3 linked regions of the Xenopus tropicalis genome follow. The protein of the gene in region 3 interacts with the protein of the main gene of each other region in a biochemical or structural test. Links are inferred from orthologs where the notes say so. Each region holds a gene or a part of one and is shown on either strand. Other genes may lie near its edges. The genes, in order: eif2b5, lrp6 and gsk3b.

Region 1 (3,654 bases), on a different chromosome or scaffold from region 3:
ATCAAATCTCTTCTGCAGACCTGCCCTCACTTTTAGCTTGTGTCAGTGTATAAAGGCAATTTCTGCATTCATGTCCTCTTGTTGCCTAAAAATCAACACTGACAAAACAGAACTGGTCTACTTCCCTTCCAACTCTGCTTTTCTGCCTGATATCCACAGTCAGTATGGAAAACAACAATACAACCCCAGTACATCTTATTTATTCCCCACATTCAAATGAACCCTACATCATATCACTTTCACCTTAGGAACATTATACACAATCCACTTTCCTCACACAAGAGACTAACCCCACTCCAATCCTTTATGAACACTGCTGCCACACTTATATATCTCTTCCATTAAACACTCTCAGAACCTCCAGGCTTTTTAAAGGTCACTTAAAACTCACCTTTTCATTCAAGCTTATAACATAAGCACTCAGCAACTTACCCACCCACCAAGACCCTCTACTTTCTGCTCACATACTTAATAGCTATTGGTATCTGTAGCAGTAGAGATGCCTACTAAGCAGAGAGATGTCACAGTACCTTTGACCTTCATTCTTTCTGCCTGTTTTCCAGCTCCTGCATCATCACTAAACTCATCATCATCATTTTCATCCTCTTCAGGATGATGAAGAGAAATAACTGTACTTTCAGGCAGTTGTATATCAGGACCAATCACTACCTATGAGAGAGAAAAGAATAATGGAAATCCTATAATAAAAGCCCTTTTCAAATTAAACATAAAATCCAAATTCATTTTTATATTAACACATCCAAACCCATTATAAAGGCATTTAAAAATCCCAGTTATCAATCATATATTGCTTGCCCCGCCTCTATGCCTTAGGCATAGAGGTGGGGCAGACAATAACTTTAGCTTTCTGTTCAGCACTACCTAGATGTCACTGCACATCTCACTTTTCCCCTCCCTGCTCATCATCTAATTGTGTAGCCAGTGCAAGGCCATGGACATCTGGTCCCCCTTTCTGGCACATAAACAAGATTTTGGCATGATACACAGCTTGCCTTCATAACAGTGTCCACAAAATGGTGGCTGCCTGCTTGCTTTGAATGAGTAATTCCAAGACAGAAAGAAACACGATTTATATTATTTATATAGAGTAAGTAAAGTTTATTTTGCTCAACTAACAATATAGAAAATAAGTTGGAGTTATTTCTTATGGTGACAGGTCCCCTTTAAGTGCAATTACTTTCTCATTGGTTTTGCGTGTAGAGAAATATTTTCTAAGGCTTTAAAAGAATAGAACCACAAGCAAAGACTAATGCAATTTTATGCTAACAAATGTAACTAAAAGAATCATCTGATGCTTAAACTGATTTACTTTTAAATTAACCAGGCAGCTCTAACTTATTTTGCCAGGTCATGAAAACACTAAGTGGATCCTTGAAATATCTGGTCACTCAGGCAGTGGGCCAGATGCGGCTAATCTGATCATCTGGCCCAGACCAATGGTCATTTTGTAACAGAGCCCTTAGTAGTTCTGTCTGGGGAATATGCAACAAAAAGGCCTATGTGGACCTCCCACTACGCAATTCAGGATTTTTAAACCTACCCAATATATTTTGGACAGGGGGTAGGAAGGCTGTGGTTTTGGACACATACAGGGCCAACCTCTTCTTATCAATCAGTCTTTATTACCTTTGACGTCAACACGCAGTAAGGATTTATCTGCACCCTTTTCTTCACAACAACATCATTACAAATTATGGAATTTTTGATAGTAACATCATCTTCAATGTGAACTCTATCCCAGACATGTACATTCTCTAGAACTACTCTGTCTCCTTCAAAAAAAAAAAAAATTTTTTAATTAATTAAAAAAAATGAAGAAAAAAAAATAACATATATAATAACATAAATAATAACATTTTAGTTTATGGTGTATTATAATTGTTTAAGTACTTGTCGATAATTGTCTCTTTGTGCGTTTTAACAGAGGCAAGTCTCAGTACTGTATATGGCAGGGTATCTTCTGGAGTTTAGTAGCTGTAAAAAAGGAGCTGCTACTAGTAGCTCCGTGTGTCTTCACCCCTAAGGGCTCTGGCACACGGGGAGATTAGTCGCCCGCGTCAAATCTCCCCGAATTGCCATCCCACCGGTGAAAATGTAAATCCCCGGTGGGAAGGCATACGCAGCGACACGATTTGCGGAAGTTGCCTCGAGAGGTTCGCCGTGTATGCCATTCCACCGCCGATTTACATTTTCGCCAGTGGGATGTCATATAGGGGAGATTAGTCGCCCGCAAGAAGGGAGATTTGTCGCGGGCGACTAATCTCTCCGAATTCCCATCCCACCGGCGAAAATGTAAATGTAAACGCGATTTGCGGAAATCGCTGAAGCTGCCTCAATGTCATATCGGGGAGATTAGTCGCCCGCAACAAGGGAGATTTGTCGCGAGTGACTAGAGGTGCAGGTATGAGATCTATTACCCAGAATACTTGGGACCTGGGGTTTTCCAGATAAAGGGTCATTCTGAAATTTGGAGTTCCATACTTTAAGTCTGCTAAAAAAAAATAAAAAATAATTTAAAAATTAAATAAACCCAGCAGGATTGTTTTGCCTCAAATAAGGATTAATACTAGCTTACTTAAGATTAAGTGCAAGTACTGTTTTATTATTACAGAGAAAAAGGCAATCATATTTTAAAACGTGAATTATTTGATTAACATGAAGTCTATGGGAGATGGCCTTCCCATAATTCGGAACTTTATGGATAACAGGTTTCTGGATAAGGGATCCCATACCTGTACTGCAGGGGTCCCCAACCGCCGGGCCGCGGTGCTAAAAAGGTTGGGGGACCCCTGCTGTACTGTAATGCTGATAAGGGGAATAGAAGGTAGGAAAGATTAAAGAATTAAATAGTTTAATATTCATTTAAATATAATGCACCATTGCTCTGCACTGGTAAAAACTGTGTTTGCTTCAGATTATATAAATAAGTCAATATGAAGTCATGGGGAGCAACCATTCAAGTTAAATATGGCAAAATGCTTGCGTTTACATAGTAAATAACAGATAAGCTGTATAGAATACAACAATTTTAGTTCTTACGTAGTTTTTCCCTTATTACGGGTCAATTTAATTTTTTCAAGAGGAGTCTAGACTTTATGCATCTTTTGCCACTGCTTACATTTTAAAAAACAGCATAGCTAAGATCAAGTACAAGCACTGTTTTATTTTTTTATAGAGAAAAGGGAAATCATTTTTAAAATTTGTATTATTTGCTTAAAATAGACTATGAGAAAATGTCCTTCCTGTAATTTGGAGCTGGTGGAACAGGTTCCCCTAATAAGGGATACAACACCTGCACTGGTTTCATCACAAAAAGATTTCACCAACAGATAGTAAAAACCATTATAACCCAAAGTATGCAAAATTGAAGAAAGCTGTAGAGAATGAGTTTCTTTGTACCATAGTGTTCTGCCTTCTAGGTGTAAGTTATAACCAGTCCCTGTACCACAAAGCTTATGTAAAGAAAAAAATGCATTGTAGAACTAGAATTCTACTTAACAGTATGTATAATTTTAGGGGGACATATCATTTATTAGAAGTACTTATACTGTATTGGGCTTTATTAAATGTAGGGTTTTTTATATTAGAAGTTTGGGAAATAATCTGGGTCTTTTTCTGCATTCAGATTTATTA
Region 2 (3,654 bases), on a different chromosome or scaffold from region 3:
ATAGGGAAGGGCTAAAGGCTTCCATTAGTGGCAGAAAATAAACAAAGAGCCATTCGGGTTAATGCTAATACAGGTATGGGATCCCTTATTCGGAAACCTGTTATCCAGAAAAGCTCCGAATTACGGAAAGTCCGTCTCCCATAGACTCCATTATAATCAAATAATTCAGATTTTTTAAACTGATTTCCCTTTTCTCTGTAATAATAAAACAGTACCTGTACTTGATTCCAACTAAGATATAATTACCCCTTATTGGGGCAGAACAGCCCTATTGGGTTTATTTAATGGTTAAATGATTCCCTTTTCTCTGTAATAACAAAACAGTACCTGTACTTGATCCCAACTAAGATATAATTACCCCTTATTGGGGCAGAACAGCCCTATTGGGTTTATTTAATGGTTAAATGATTCCCTTTTCTCTGTAATAATAAAACAGTACCTGTACTTGATCCCAACTAAGATATAATTACCCCTTATTGGGGGCAGAACAGCCCTATTGGGTTTATTTAATGGTTAAATGATTCCCTTTTCTCTGTAATAATAAAACAGTACCTGTACTTGATCCCAACTAAGATATAATTATCCCTTATTGGGGGCAGAACAGCCCTATTGGGTTTATTTAATGGTTAAATTATTCCCTTTTCTCTGTAATAATAAAACAGTACCTGTACTTGATCCCAACTAAGATATAATTACCCCTTATTGGGGGCAGAACAGCCCTATTGGGTTTATTTAATGGTTAAATGATTCCCTTTTCTCTGTAATAATAAAACAGTACCTGTACTTGATCCCAACTAAGATATAATTACCTCTTATTGGGGGCAGAACAGCCCTATTGGGTTTATTTAATGGTTAAATGATTCCCTTTTCTCTGTAATAATAAAACAGTACCTGTACTTGATCCCAACTAAGATATAATTACCCCTTATTTGGGCAGAATAGTCCTATTGGGTTTAATTAATGTTTTATTGATTTTTTAGTAGACAAGGTATGGAGATCCAAATTAAGGAAAGACCCCTTATCAGGAACACCCATGGTCCCAAGCATTCTGGATAACGGGTCCTATACCTGTAGTATCAAAACAGAACCCCCAGTAGTATTGTAAAACCCTAAGAAAGGCTTGCTGATGTACTGCCTCTTTCCAGTGTTCGTACAGGTATCTGACCCCAAAAGCAAAGAGATAAAGAAAAGCACTGTAATTCTACAATTTTATAAAGTTCTTTTCAGCCCCTCTGTGTTCGTCTTCCAGTCTCTCAATTACAGTAGTGTCTGGTTGCTAGGGTAAACGACAGCCTAGCAACCAGACAGCTGCAGAAATTTCAAACTGGTGAGCTGCTGAACAAATATCTAAATAAAGGTGGCCATACATACCTGAATGTCAATGGAGGGAACGAACCATCTTTCCTGTGACCAATGGTGGCAGGAAAGATCAGGGCTGAATTGTCAGATACAGAGGTAGAAACAATATGGATTATACCTCCACCTGACAATTCAGCCCTAAACGCAAATTCTGCTCAGGTGCCTTCAACGGTGCACGATCAAAATCTTTTATCCCGTCCGATCGACAAGACGACCAATATCCAAAATCCTTGCATTATTGGTTGTCTCGTCAATCCGTCAAACACACACTGAATAATGTACGAAACACGGTTTTGTACGATACTATCGGTGTGTATGGCCAGCTTAATTCAAGCACTAACCCTTTAAGAAGTAAAATATTTTATATAACAAAGTCTCGTCATTTTGTACGAAACTTGGACCCACCTCTATCTTATCGGTCTTGGCATCTCCCCAGTAGATTTTCCCTTCTGCATAATCCAGTGCCAGACCATTGGGCCAACCAAGTGAGGTGTTCACTAATATAATCCTGTCTGAGCCATCCATTGCAGCACGCTCAATTTTAGGGATTTCTCCCCAATCAGTCCAATACATGTACCTATATAAAAAAAAAAGTATATTATTTTATTATTCAGGTTTGGAACCCTTTCTCTGGAAACCAGTTATCCAGAAAGATCCAAATCTATGTCCCATAGACTCCATTTTAAAAAAAAATATATCCTTTTTCTCTGTAATAATAAAACATACATGCAACACTGTTCTAGTACCTATAGGGCTTTCGGTATACAAAAACCACTGATGTTGTATGGGTGCTATAAGCTATGGGGTATTCCTTGGTTGGTAAAGGGGGAAAAAAATAAATAAATCGTACCCATTCATAGGATCTAGCACTATGGCTCGTGGTTCATCCAGGTCCTCGGATATGAGGATCTTGCGCATAGTCCCATTCAGCCGAGTGACTTCAATGCGGTCCGTCCCCGTGTCGGTCCAGTACAAGTTCCGAGCCACCCAATCAACAGCGATACCATCCGGATGGGCCACTTGGGAGGTGACAATGTATTGACTGGAAGAGCCATCGATCTGTGTGCGGCGTATGGCTCTCACCTCGTCGTCCGTCCAGTAAATGTACCCTTCTACAGGATCATAGTCAATGGCAATAGCGTGGCGAATATCGTCCAGTGGCAAAACAATATCTGTGAAGTCCGGAGTGTCCAGCGATATTCGCCTGAGGTCCGTCCTGCGGACAAGCAGCAGCAACTCTGTAGCACCTACACAAATGGCAAAGAGATGCAAAAGTTCAACTCAAGATACATGTTATTTTAAAATTCATTCATTCAATTCTTCATTTTTATTTTGGCAGTTTAGCTTTCTGTTAGTTTGTAATTGCAGCAGCTAACTAGTTGCTAGGGTCAATTTAATCTAGCAACCAGGCAGCGGTTTCAAATAGAGATAGCAATATCATTAGAGGAGGGTCTAAATAGAAATATAAGTAATAAAAAGTAACAACAGCAATAAAAAAAAAATGTAGCCTCGCTGCCGGGGTCAGTGAACTCCATTTGAAAAAACTATAAACAAATAAAAATTGAAGACCTTCAGCTTTGTACAGGTATGGAATCCCTTATCCGGAAACTCGATATCAAGAAAGCTCCGAATTACGGAAAGCCTGTCTCCATTTTAATCAAATAATTCAGATTTTTAAAATTGATTTCCTTTTTCTCTGTACAGGTATGGGATCCCTTATCCGGAAACCCGTTATCCAGAAAGCTCCGAATTACGGAATGCCTCTCTCCCATAGACTCCATTTTAATCAAATTATTCAGAATTTTAAAACTGATTTCCTTTTTCTCTGTAATAATAAAACAGTACCTGTACTTGATCCCAACTAAGATATAATTACCCCTTATTGGGGCAGAACAGCCCTATTGGGTTTATTTAATGGTTAAATGATTCCCTTTTCTCTGTAATAATAAAACAGTTCCATGTAATTGATCCCAACTAAGATATAAATAATGCTTATTGGATGCAAAACAATCCCATAGGGTTTAATTAATGTTTTATTGATTCTTTAGTAGACTTAAGGTATGGAGATCCAAATTACGGAAAGACCCCTTATCCGGAATACCCTTGGTCCCGAGCATTCTGGATAACGGGTCCTATACCTGTATTAATAAAACAGTACCTGTACTTGATCCCAACTAAGATATAATTACCCCTTATTGGGGCAGAACAGCCCTATTGGGTTTATTTAATGGTTAAATGATTCCCTTTTCTCTGTAATAATAAAACAGTACCTGTACTTGATCCCAACTAAGATAT
Region 3 (3,754 bases):
TCCAGCTTAGTGAGCCCCAATATTCTCGAATGTGACACTTTAGAACATTACAATTCCCGTGCAACACCCGTTGGAGCCCAACACTTTGCTGAAATAACAGTAAGTGAGTGCAATATCTCTCAATGCAGAGAGTTGTGGGTTCTGCAGACCATCCGGGGAGGAGACCTCTGCACAGACTCCCAGGGACGGGCGTCACGGCCAAACTCCTCGTTGGCGACTGAGTGACATCCCTAATCCCAGACTGGCATCTCGGTGGACCTCAGTAAAATCCAAAAATAACTCCTAATTGCGCGAGGCCCTTACGGTATTAGGGGTAATTCAGTGGGATCGGTTTACATGCAGGATGAGGGCGTGAGTGCAGCTTTATTGGGCACATTTCCCCTTATTGTAGCCGGGTTTCCTCTGCTTCACACTGGGGGGGGGGGGTTACGGGGAGTTACGGCACACACGGGCACGGTGCTACAAAGGGATACTCACGGCTGACTTTCATGCTGCCAAAAGATGACGGTTGCTGCACGGGTTTGCAGCTCTCTGCAAAGGAAGTGGTTCTCGGCCTCCCCGACATGATTCTCCGGCTCCTCCCTCACCTCCTTCTCTCTTGTAGATCAAAGCCAGATGGAGGGCAAGACCATCAAGGCCCCGGCGCACAATAAGCTTCTCAGCCCTTACCGAAAGCAGTGGGGCCTACCCGGCGCGGTGGTCCCTCTCCCCCACCTCTGTATTGTCACCTTTCCCCTCCGACGATCACTATTTATAGACCATCCCTCGGGCTCCAGTCGGGCACACAATATGGCAGCCGGGGTGTCAGTAGGCCATGTAGCCGGGAATCAGTGGTTTAGTCACAGGCGCAAGGGCCACGGGATTGTCACTGCCGGGGCCACAGGTGACGCTCGGGGGGTAACAGGGCTACTGCTCCTTAGCGATGGATTGAAGGGTTGGAGCCACACAGAGCAGGTTCCGGAGGCTGTTGCCCAAAGCTTGTGCCTGCAGGGGCAATACTTCAAGTATTAAGGGCAGTTTCAAGTGGTACTGCAACAATACTGCACCACAGGCAGGGCAACAGGGCAGGTTCTGCTCTAGTGGGAAAGCGGCAGAACTAGGAGGATCTGGTCATACGTCGTCTGGGGGGGGAATAAGGACAGTTGCCCCCAGGAATCTGTGATTTTGCCCCACTTGTGGCACAATATTGCCCTTGACAGGGTCTCAGGCAAAGGTTTCAGTCGCAAAGCCGAGATATTGATCCGATGGGGGTGGGAAGCTCACTGCTCCAATGGGGGTATTAGCAGGGGCAACTGGATGTCTCACTGCTCCAATGGGGGTATTAGCAGGGGCAGCTGGATGTCTCACTGCTCCAATGGGGGTATTAGCAGGGGCAGCTGGATGTCTCACTGCTCCAATGGGGGTATTAGCAGGGGCAACTGGATGTCTCACTGCTCCAATGGGGGTATTAGCAGGGGCAACTGGATGTCTCACTGCTCCAATGGGGGTATTAGCAGGGGCAGCTGGATGTCTCACTGCTCCAATGGGGGTATTAGCAGGGGCAACTGGATGTCTCACTGCTCCAATGGGGGTATTAGCAGGGGCAACTGGATGTCTCACTGCTCCAATGGGGGTATTAGCAGGGGCAACTGGATGTCTCACTGCTCCAATGGGGGTATTAGCAGGGGCAACTGGATGTCTCACTGCTCCAATGGGGGTATTAGCAGGGGCAGCTGGATGTCTCACTGCTCCAATGGGGGTATTAGCAGGGGCAGCTGGGTGTCTCACTGCTCCAATGGGGGTATTAACAGGGGCAGCTGGGTGTCTCACTGCTCCAATGGGGGTATTAGCAGGGGCAGCTGGATGTCTCACTGCTCCAATGGGGGTATTAGCAGGGGCAGCTGGATGTCTCACTGCTCCAATGGGGGTATTAACAGGGGCAACTGGATGTCTCACTGCTCCAATGGGGGTATTAGCAGGGGCAGCTGGATGTCTCAGATGTTGCCCTAGGGGTAATTATGGAAGTGCGTGGGTAAAGGGCAAATCTCGCCCCAGGGCCGGGTAGTAGCCCAGATGTTGCCCCAGTAGGGGTATTAGCCGGGGCAGGTGGGGTTAATGGCGGGCAGGGAGCGGGGCTTGGGCACAGGCTGAGGCCATGGCGCCTCTCACACAGGGCGGGCAGAGAGAGGGCGGAGAGAGCGGAGTTGTGGGCCCAGGGAGCCGGGCACTTGCTGTCAGGGCCGGGGGTGGGTTCCCGGGCGGAAGCTGCGGCGCAGGATAAAATCACCGGGCAGAGAAATTCGGTTCCCGTTGGACCTCGGGTCGGTACTGTCCCAGAATCCCTTGCGCAGGGCGTTAAAATAAGGTAATCTCCACCGTATCCGTGTCCGGTAACCGCTTCCAGCTCGGTCTCTTTCCCTTTGTCACTCTCCGTCCGACTGACCGCATTTGCCAGTCGGTCTTTTTCCCCGCAATCCTCTCCTCCCTCTCTGCTCAATGACGTAGCGCACCACGCGTCCAACGAGCCGCACGCTAGCGAAACTGAGTAACTCTGCTCTGAGAATACGGGCAAGGGAGGGGGCGGGCCTTCGCCAGTTCCTTCATGACGTTCTGATCTCGGTTTGCTCCGCCCGCATCACTCACCAGCCCATGGAAACCAATCAACTACACGGATTGGCGAGAGGGGGGGCAGAGAAGACGACGTAGCTAACCAATTATCGAGCTTCTCAGTCACTACTCAGCGCTTTCCCCCCCCTCCTTTCTCAATGGCTGGCGTTTTATAGATACTGCTTTATGATTGGCCATCATGTTACCCAGCTTCTCCAATGACACGTTTATTTTTGCAATCTCCGCCTCCTGCCGTTGTCTGCTTGACTCTGATTGGCTAAAGAAATTGTCCGTCTTCTTAACCAGGCCTAGCCTAGAGATAAAAGGAGAGGCGAGGCAGAAATAAGAGACGACCGTCTATTGGTAGGCAGGAGCAGCTGTTGCTGCAAGGAACGGGCGGAAGTAGGCGTTGTCAATCCTTGTTAAGACACCGGAAGTGTGACCTTTTAACTCTTATTATTCATGTATTATATCAGCTGGTTGAAATGTGGGTTTCTGTGGTAACTGGGATATTATGGGGCACGGATATGAGGTCTGAGCCCCGGCCCCGTGTTCAGTCAGAGTGGGGGGGTATTTGTGTGTGTGGGCACATCCTTCCTGTCATATATTCCTATTTGTTCCTTGTTACAGATCCCTAACATTTGCCAGATCTCTGAAATCCCATGGTGGATCATATGGGAGGGGCTGCTGTGTGGTTTTACCCCCCCATAGTGGAGCCGGTGTGCTTGGGTACTTGTGCCATAAGGAGGAAAATGGCTGAAACCAAAGGGGGGCAGGAGGGGTCCTTTACTTGCACCCAGGCCCCAGAGAAGGTTGTGAGGAGAGACTGTTGGCGAGGTCACCAAGCGAGCAGATCTTCTCCCGATATTGCCCACCCTTAGGGGAATTTAGGCTCATTTGGTTGCAGGGGCGGGCCAAGCCGACTGAGCGCCCTAGGCAACCCGGTCGGCCAACTCCGCCCACCTCCCCGCCCCCCCCCCCGAACGGCGCATGCGCACCAAAGCACAGGAGGAGGTGCAGGGGGGGGCGATATGATTAGATTGGTCATTGCCTCTGCCGCTAATGACAAGCGGTGGAGGCAATGACAAAGTAGCACTAGGGGTAGGCAGGCCCCTCAATCGTTGCGCCCTACGCAGCTGCCTCTTCTGCCCACCCCTAGTTCCAGCCC

What was found.
Region 1: of the proteins of gsk3b (region 3) and eif2b5, one has a biochemical effect on the other in vitro, tested with the Homo sapiens proteins (2 studies listed by BioGRID and IntAct). The link is inferred for Xenopus tropicalis from reciprocal best matches to the Homo sapiens genes GSK3B and EIF2B5.
Region 2: of the proteins of gsk3b (region 3) and lrp6, one has a biochemical effect on the other in vitro, tested with the Homo sapiens proteins (2 studies listed by BioGRID, with this or other methods). The link is inferred for Xenopus tropicalis from reciprocal best matches to the Homo sapiens genes GSK3B and LRP6.

The regions. Positions count from the first base shown.
Region 1 is NC_030681.2:100,214,308-100,217,961, forward strand, and holds part of eif2b5 (translation initiation factor eIF-2B subunit epsilon), read right to left. Parts: intron 1,794-3,654; coding exon 1,648-1,793; intron 670-1,647; coding exon 531-669; intron 1-530. UniProt on the Homo sapiens protein: Acts as a component of the translation initiation factor 2B (eIF2B) complex, which catalyzes the exchange of GDP for GTP on eukaryotic initiation factor 2 (eIF2) gamma subunit.
Region 2 is NC_030679.2:8,234,146-8,237,799, forward strand, and holds part of lrp6 (low-density lipoprotein receptor-related protein 6), read right to left. Parts: intron 2,607-3,654; coding exon 2,210-2,606; intron 1,937-2,209; coding exon 1,765-1,936; intron 1-1,764. UniProt on the Homo sapiens protein: Component of the Wnt-Fzd-LRP5-LRP6 complex that triggers beta-catenin signaling through inducing aggregation of receptor-ligand complexes into ribosome-sized signalosomes.
Region 3 is NC_030678.2:1,861,807-1,865,560, reverse strand, and holds the start of gsk3b (glycogen synthase kinase-3 beta), read right to left. Parts: upstream 2,725-3,754; 5' UTR 566-2,724; coding exon 478-565; intron 1-477. UniProt on the Homo sapiens protein: Constitutively active protein kinase that acts as a negative regulator in the hormonal control of glucose homeostasis, Wnt signaling and regulation of transcription factors and microtubules, by phosphorylating and inactivating glycogen synthase (GYS1 or GYS2), EIF2B, CTNNB1/beta-catenin, APC, AXIN1, DPYSL2/CRMP2, JUN, NFATC1/NFATC, MAPT/TAU and MACF1.